2 linked regions of the Arabidopsis thaliana genome follow. The main gene of each other region encodes a partner of the protein of the gene in region 2 in a complex. Each region holds a gene or a part of one and is shown on either strand. Other genes may lie near its edges. A codon is read from its position in the direction of its gene.

What was found.
Region 1: the proteins of PRK6 (region 2) and LURE1.2 are in contact, whole or in part, in a crystal structure (PDB 5Y9W), measured with the Arabidopsis thaliana proteins. Residues at the interface, in NP_197569.2 of Arabidopsis thaliana: Glu226 (codon at 2,641), Tyr227 (codon at 2,644), Leu228 (codon at 2,647), Cys229 (codon at 2,650), Gly230 (codon at 2,653), Pro231 (codon at 2,656), Val233 (codon at 2,662), Asp234 (codon at 2,665), Val235 (codon at 2,668), Gly236 (codon at 2,671), Cys237 (codon at 2,674), Glu238 (codon at 2,677), Asn239 (codon at 2,680), Ile240 (codon at 2,683), Leu242 (codon at 2,689); in NP_001078701.1 of Arabidopsis thaliana: Tyr57 (codon at 935), Asp60 (codon at 926), Cys61 (codon at 923), Ala64 (codon at 914), Arg68 (codon at 902), Arg73 (codon at 887), Thr74 (codon at 884), Cys75 (codon at 881), Ser76 (codon at 878), Arg79 (codon at 869), Lys80 (codon at 866), Leu81 (codon at 863), Cys82 (codon at 860), Arg83 (codon at 857), Cys84 (codon at 854), Ser85 (codon at 851), Ile86 (codon at 848), Ser87 (codon at 845).

What each region holds. Positions count from the first base shown.
Region 1 is NC_003076.8:17,472,297-17,475,308, reverse strand, and holds LURE1.2 (Putative membrane lipoprotein), read right to left. Parts: upstream 1,261-3,012; 5' UTR 1,199-1,260; coding exon 1,150-1,198; intron 1,055-1,149; coding exon 831-1,054; 3' UTR 824-830; downstream 1-823. Other genes in the region: ARP9 (actin-related protein 9), read right to left, coding at 1,880-2,023, 2,103-2,199, 2,315-2,364, 2,498-2,541, 2,628-2,797, 2,878-2,948. UniProt on the Arabidopsis thaliana protein: Pollen tube attractants guiding pollen tubes to the ovular micropyle. Attracts specifically pollen tubes from A.thaliana, but not those from A.lyrata. Triggers endocytosis of MDIS1 in the pollen tube tip.
Region 2 is NC_003076.8:7,000,488-7,005,336, forward strand, and holds PRK6 (Leucine-rich repeat protein kinase family protein), read left to right. Parts: upstream 1-1,965; coding exon 1,966-3,376; intron 3,377-3,495; coding exon 3,496-4,064; 3' UTR 4,065-4,288; downstream 4,289-4,849. Other genes in the region: TBL16 (TRICHOME BIREFRINGENCE-LIKE 16), read left to right, coding at 1-158, 281-1,109. UniProt on the Arabidopsis thaliana protein: Key receptor for sensing species-specific attractants in cooperation with other pollen receptor-like kinases. Essential for pollen tube reorientation toward attractant peptides.

The sequences.
Region 1 (3,012 bases), about 10 Mb from region 2:
CGATAGTCATTTGGAGTTTTAAATGTATATAGAATAAAGTATTTGTCAATAATACTTTAGTTGAGGGAATTAAAATGGATTCTTTATCTAATTATAGTAAACAATTACGCCGAACGTATGATAAACAAATTTTAATTATTTTTAATTGTAATTTGGAGGGTCGGCCGAGCGAGCCAACCCATGGGTTGTTCCAGAAATAATGTCGGCCATATGTCTTGATTTTGCCATACAGCACTCACCCCTTATCTTAGGCTGAGCGTGGCATAAATAGCCATCCGACCCTTTTTAATTTCTAACGGTGAGGCCCATCTTCTTTATATAAGCCCTTCTCTGCTCTCCTTCCCTCTCGTATTGCCGATGTGGGACAAAAAACTGTAACTACTTTTTTTTTTTTTTTCTCTCTTTAAACCATCATAAATCTAAAATAAAACTCCCTTAGAAATTGGTTTTGTTGTGTAGAGAGAAAGGGTTCAATCAAATACATGACAAAACATACAATATCTTAGCAAAATAACATTTACTCTGAGAACTTTTGTTTTTGGTTTTGAGTTATGACAAGTAAAAGTTATTGTGATAAGAAACAGAGAAAGCTTAAGATATAGACAGAAACTAGGGGTTGATGAAGTACATTGCTTGACCTTGAAGGTGATAAGAGTCTTTGTACTTCTTTAGACAGCCTTTATTAACTCCAATAAATTTCATGTTAAGTGCACACTACAAAACTTTTAGATTATTATACATTTTCATTATTGTAAAAAGAAGAGCATGGATGAACATTAAACAGTAATATAATTTGTTTTTTTATTAATGTTTAACAAAGTTACAATGCCTTATTTAATATCACTAATACTGCAACGACAAAGTTTTCTTTCAAAACTACATGTACGAATATACTTACCCCGTCTCATACAAGCTCTTGCGCAATCAAAACAGTAACCAATTCTCCCAATTTTAAGTTCTTGGTTCAGTGAGCGTGGATCAAAAGGACTTGTTGTTGGACTGAAAGAATATGTTCTCTCTTCATCACTAGATCCATTTATAAGTGTTGATGTACCTATCAAATTTTTAAAAGATATATCAAATTCTTAAACAGTTTTTATAATGATTATAATACTGACACATTATCCTAATTAAATAATTTAGACTTACATGAAGAAACAAAAATTAATAGAGTTAAGAATATAATAGGCAACTTCATTTCTTGGTAGAAATTAACCAATATCACAAAGAAAATATATTAAATATTATTGTGAATCGTTTTTCTTTTGTTTTGCTCTGGAGTATTAAAGCAATATTTAGTCATATTTATAGGCTCTGTAGATAAATATGTTATATAAAGAGTTAATTTTCATTTAAACGTTTTATTTTGTTATAAAGTAAATTTCAGTAACCTATTACGTTTGTTTTTGTTAAAAAATTATAATTGTTTAGTTATTAAAATCTGTTATATATTGGTATAAATAGTAATATACATCTAATAAGTGCAAACAATTACAGGTTTAAAACTTTATATTTCAAAAATTCTATTGAAGTTTACATTTTATTAGGAACTAAGACATATATATATATAATATAGTTTGATTAAAAAAAATCAAAAAGTTCTATATTATATATATATATATATATATATATACTAACTCATGATGCCTATCTTGCTTTTCTAACAAAACCTTAAATAACTTTTGGATTCCTTATTAATAGTTATGATCTTAAAGATGACCAAATCAGTTAAATTCTTATATGCCTCGAATCAATCCAAACTCTGAGAATATCTTAGCAAAATAACATTTACTCTGAGAATTTTTGTTTTTGGTTTTGAGTTATGACAAGTAAAAGTATTCTGATAAGAAACAGAGAAAGCTTAAGATATAGACAGAAACTAGGGGTTGATGAAGTACATTGCTTGACCTTGAAGGTGATAAGAGTCTTTGTACTTCTTTAGACCACCTTTATTAACCCCATTTACCATCCATTGATGTCTCTCAATCCAAGCCTCCCTCCCAAAGTCCAGAATTCCCAATATCTGTCTCAAATTTCAGTACATAAATACACAAAATCAAGAGTGGTAAGAAAATAAAAGATGCAAACAAATGCAAACGTACCGCTCCTCCTTTCCAAGTTACGAATTGTGGCTCCGTTCTTGATGGCAGAACCTGCACTGTATCAATGGCTTCAGTTGGAGGTATCGCGTGAAGAACTCTGAAACGCAAAGGAGAGAGGGACATAAACATTAGTTGAACAAAATACTCTGTTTAGTTGGATGTGCCTTCTGGATGTTAGAAAACGAAATGTTTGGTAAAGGAAACGAGCAAACCTTTCTTCCACTGCCGCTACAAGACCTTTCGTCAAACCAGCACCACCAATCTGAGAAGCCAAAAGAGAGAGAGAGTTCCAAGGTAACACATTCATGTATGAAGAGTTACATGGTAGCACATGATTTTAAGGAAGTACATGGCGAAAACTTGAGTGTGTAAAAAAAAAGGTTTTCAGGATCTACCAATTGAATGCTGGAGAAAAGCTTCCGTCTAAGGTCTATGCGTCCTACAAGCAAAGGAAGAAGAAAAGGATAACGTTTTTGTTAGGTGTTGATTTTTATATAATGCAGGAGGGTGCATCACAACATATACCAGCAGAGAGAATGCTGCTTGTAATGGCTTCAGCGAGACCAATCTTCTCTTCTTTCTTTGGTTTTGAAGGCGAAAATGCAAAACTATCCCACATTGGTAATCCCATGTTACCACCACCTCCAAAGTCCATGTTCCAAGTGTCTTCCAACATATTCTCGTAGTCTTGAAACCTAAACAATAGGTTTCAAATGAGTATCTCTCGGTCGACAACTAAACCAAAGAGAAGAATATAAGAAGGTTTAACTCTGACCATTGACGTGGTGGCTGGGGAAATATTTCAGGGACCAAAAGGTTAGGATAAAACAGACCCATTGGTGGAACCTGACATAACCAAACAAAAGATTTTCAAGACTAAAATCATAGGTGAGCATTGACAGCAAAATGG
Region 2 (4,849 bases):
CACCGTCCTTTGTATTCAGGATCTCAATGCAAACAGTGGCTTGCTTCAATGTGGGCATGCAGGTTGATGCAACGTACAGACTTTGCCTTTGAAAGTTTAAGATGGCAACCTAAAGATTGCTCTATGGAAGAATTTGAGGGTTCCAAGTTCTTGAGAAGGTAAACAGAAAAATTCCTATATTTCATTCCAACTTATGCATGTGTTAATCCATAGACGTTGTCAAATATTCCCATCAAGTCCTTAGTAACAGTGCGTGGCTCTATTTTACAAATTCCCTCAGGATGAAGAACAAAACCCTAGCCTTTGTTGGAGACTCGTTGGGAAGACAACAGTTTCAGTCTATGATGTGTATGATCTCGGGAGGCAAAGAGAGACTCGATGTCCTTGATGTGGGACCAGAATTTGGGTTCATAACTCCCGAAGGTGGAGCTCGTCCTGGTGGTTGGGCTTACAGATTCCCAGAAACTAACACAACGGTCCTATACCACTGGTCATCTACACTGTGCGACATAGAACCGCTCAACATCACTGACCCCGCAACTGAACACGCTATGCATCTTGATCGCCCACCAGCGTTTTTACGCCAATACCTTCAAAAGATCGACGTATTGGTAATGAACACAGGTCACCATTGGAACCGCGGGAAGCTCAACGGGAACAAATGGGTGATGCATGTTAATGGCGTTCCCAACACTAACAGGAAGTTAGCTGCTCTTGGGAACGCCAAGAATTTCACAATCCACAGCACAGTTAGTTGGGTTAACTCACAACTCCCTCTCCATCCCGGTCTCAAGGCATTCTACAGAAGCCTTTCACCGAGACATTTCGTGGGTGGGGAATGGAACACCGGAGGGAGCTGCAATAACACAACCCCAATGTCTATCGGGAAAGAAGTTTTGCAAGAGGAGTCAAGCGACTACAGCGCGGGTCGTGCAGTGAAAGGTACAGGGGTTAAGCTTTTAGACATAACAGCCTTATCTCATATTAGAGACGAAGGTCACATATCACGGTTCAGTATCTCGGCTTCACGGGGAGTTCAGGATTGCCTCCATTGGTGCTTGCCCGGTGTTCCTGATACGTGGAATGAAATCCTTTTTGCAATGATCTAAGTTTTCAAGTTACAGCTGTTGCATCAATCAACAGAAAAGTTCAGAGAAAGGGCTTGAGCCAAATCAAAGCCAGCCTTTGATAGCTTTCTACAACACACATTGAAGTTTTAGCGGCAGGAGGTGTAAGTTAGTATTTATTTTGGTACAAAACCAAAGCTCTGGGTATCATAGACGTATTGTCGTTATCGTAACCATACCGGGGTTTGGTTTCGACCATATTTTACAGAACAGATTCTAACTCTTGGAATTTGTCTTTGATCGATTAAAAGAAAATTTTAGAGTTACTTCTAAATAGTTCATGTGTTATCGTTTGGATTCTGCCTAAGCACTAAGCATTTTTCCTTAAAAGCATGAATTTGATGCTGCCTAAATGTGCGCAAATAACCCGAGACATATGAATCGACTGGAAACCTATTCGATTTGTCCGAATTTTAAGATACTAATTATTTCAGTTTCTATAACAGTGATGAGACATTTACCTGTTGAAAAAGAAATAGATAGAGATGCAAATGTATAAGATTAAACTTCAAGATCCTTATCAAAAAATTCTCAAAGCTCTCAGAAACAAGCAAATAGGATTACAAAAATTATAACAAAAACACTATTTTTGGCTTAAAAAAAAGTCTAAACTTTGACAACTAATTCAATCAAAGAAAAAATGCCACCCTTTCCTTCTCAACCTTCACAAACAGACAATGTCCAAAGTTTGGAACAACAAACACAATCTAAACAAAACCACACCTTTCAACAAACTATAGAGCATCATCATCATTATCAAAAACATTGTCCTTGTTTTAAGACGTAACATCCCAACAAGAACAAGAAAAAGAAAAAGAGCATCTCCTCTCTTCAATCCATGGCTGCTGCTGTTCTGAATCCCGGTTTCTTTCTCCTCATCCTCCTCTTATCTTTCTCAATCTCCCCTTCTTTGCAGTATGTGAGCGAGTCCGAACCGCTTGTGCGGTTCAAAAACTCGGTGAAGATAACCAAAGGGGACCTAAATTCATGGAGAGAAGGGACAGATCCTTGCAGTGGGAAATGGTTTGGGATCTATTGCCAAAAGGGTCTAACAGTCTCAGGCATTCACGTCACACGTCTAGGTCTCTCAGGAACCATCACCGTGGATGATTTAAAGGATCTCCCAAATCTAAAGACGATCAGGCTTGACAACAACCTCCTCTCCGGTCCTCTCCCGCATTTCTTTAAACTCCGTGGCCTAAAATCTCTCATGCTCTCTAACAACAGCTTCTCCGGAGAGATCCGTGACGATTTTTTCAAGGACATGTCAAAGCTCAAGCGACTATTTCTTGATCATAACAAGTTCGAGGGAAGTATCCCTTCCTCCATTACGCAGCTCCCTCAACTCGAGGAGCTTCACATGCAAAGTAATAACCTCACCGGAGAGATACCTCCAGAGTTTGGCAGCATGAAGAACCTTAAAGTCCTCGACCTCTCAACCAACAGCCTCGATGGAATCGTCCCGCAAAGCATTGCGGATAAGAAAAATCTCGCTGTTAATTTGACAGAGAACGAATACTTGTGCGGGCCGGTGGTGGACGTTGGATGTGAGAATATTGAGCTAAACGATCCGCAAGAAGGACAACCCCCGTCGAAACCATCCTCCTCGGTACCAGAAACCTCGAACAAGGCCGCAATAAACGCAATCATGGTGTCGATATCGCTTCTTCTCCTGTTCTTTATTATTGTTGGCGTTATAAAGAGGCGAAATAAGAAGAAGAACCCTGACTTTAGAATGCTCGCCAACAACCGTGAAAACGATGTTGTGGAAGTCAGGATATCCGAGTCTTCATCCACGACCGCCAAAAGGTCTACAGATTCAAGCAGGAAGCGCGGTGGGCACTCGGATGACGGTTCCACCAAGAAAGGTGTGTCGAATATTGGTAAAGGTGGTAACGGAGGAGGAGGAGGAGCTCTAGGCGGTGGTATGGGTGACATTATTATGGTGAATACCGACAAAGGTTCCTTCGGTTTACCCGATCTGATGAAGGCTGCAGCCGAGGTGCTTGGCAACGGTAGCCTTGGATCAGCTTACAAGGCGGTGATGACCACTGGATTATCCGTTGTGGTGAAAAGGATTAGGGATATGAATCAACTTGCACGTGAACCTTTCGATGTCGAGATGAGACGATTCGGGAAACTCCGCCACCCTAACATTTTGACCCCTTTAGCCTATCACTACCGCCGCGAAGAGAAGCTTGTAGTCTCCGAATACATGCCTAAAAGCAGCTTGCTTTACGTTTTACATGGTAACCGAAATGCTTCTTTAATTTGTTCCTTTTTATAAGACCTCTCAAAAGCAAATTTCTTGCCAGTTAAAACATTTTAGGAAACCTTTAATAATCTTTGGTATTTTTTTTTTCTCAAGGAGATCGTGGGATATACCATTCCGAGCTAACTTGGGCAACAAGATTGAAGATCATCCAAGGAGTGGCTCACGGAATGAAGTTCTTGCACGAGGAGTTTGCGTCTTATGATCTACCACACGGTAACCTCAAATCCAGCAATGTTCTCCTCAGCGAGACCTACGAGCCTTTGATCAGTGATTACGCATTCTTACCGCTTCTCCAACCAAGCAACGCATCGCAAGCATTGTTTGCTTTCAAGACTCCCGAGTTCGCGCAGACACAACAGGTCTCGCATAAATCAGACGTCTACTGCCTCGGAATTATAATTCTAGAGATCTTGACGGGGAAATTCCCTTCTCAATACTTAAACAACGGTAAAGGCGGGACGGATATAGTACAATGGGTACAATCTTCGGTTGCGGAGCAAAAAGAAGAAGAACTTATCGATCCGGAGATAGTAAACAATACTGAATCAATGCGACAGATGGTGGAATTGTTGCGGGTTGGGGCTGCTTGTATCGCAAGTAATCCAGATGAGAGATTAGACATGAGGGAAGCTGTTAGAAGGATAGAACAAGTAAAAACTTGAAGTGGTGTTTAGAAAGCATGCAATCACGGTTGGAACAATCAAACTCTAAAGAGAAGAAAGAAACCTTTGGATTAATCCGTAGATGTAATACTACTAACGACAAAGCTAAGTGTGAAACAAGGACGAAAAAATTGGGCACGTATATAGGAAAATGGTTTGTATTTCTTGGGAGGGCTTCTATAATTCTTTTGTGGTTGGAGTGATCTATCTTTGCAATGAAATTTAAAAAAAAAAAAAAAAAAAAAAAAAAAAACTTTTCCGTTCCATAAGAAATGCACAACTGTTCACAAGAAAGATACAAATATTTTCACTTTTTTTTACTTTTCTTAATTCTTCTCGTTTTCTCAGTCAAAAGAATAAGGTTAAATGTAAACACTTATTTTCTTCAAGGAAAATCGAAAACTGTTATTTTAACACTAACCATTATATTTTGGGAAATATCGAATTTAAAAATGCATGCAAAAGATTCGAAAGTACCAACCAGTGGTAAAGTCTTTTCACTGTTATTCTTTTCATTTGAATTTTTGACTTTGAAACGCATTCTTCTAATTGAGTATTTAGTTTAGTGGTATTTTTTAAAAAAGGATAGTTCACATGTAGCTACGTTGTCTTCTATATGATATAATAAACTTCTTCAGATTTCATATATATCCCTGAATCTAAGTCTTAACCATCAAAAGCTTACAATTTAAACACAAGCAACCCATTGTGTAAGGAGATTTATAAAGAGCGACATATTAATGGACCCCAAAAGCTTGAGTATTGGGTAGGAGACTCGATTCGAA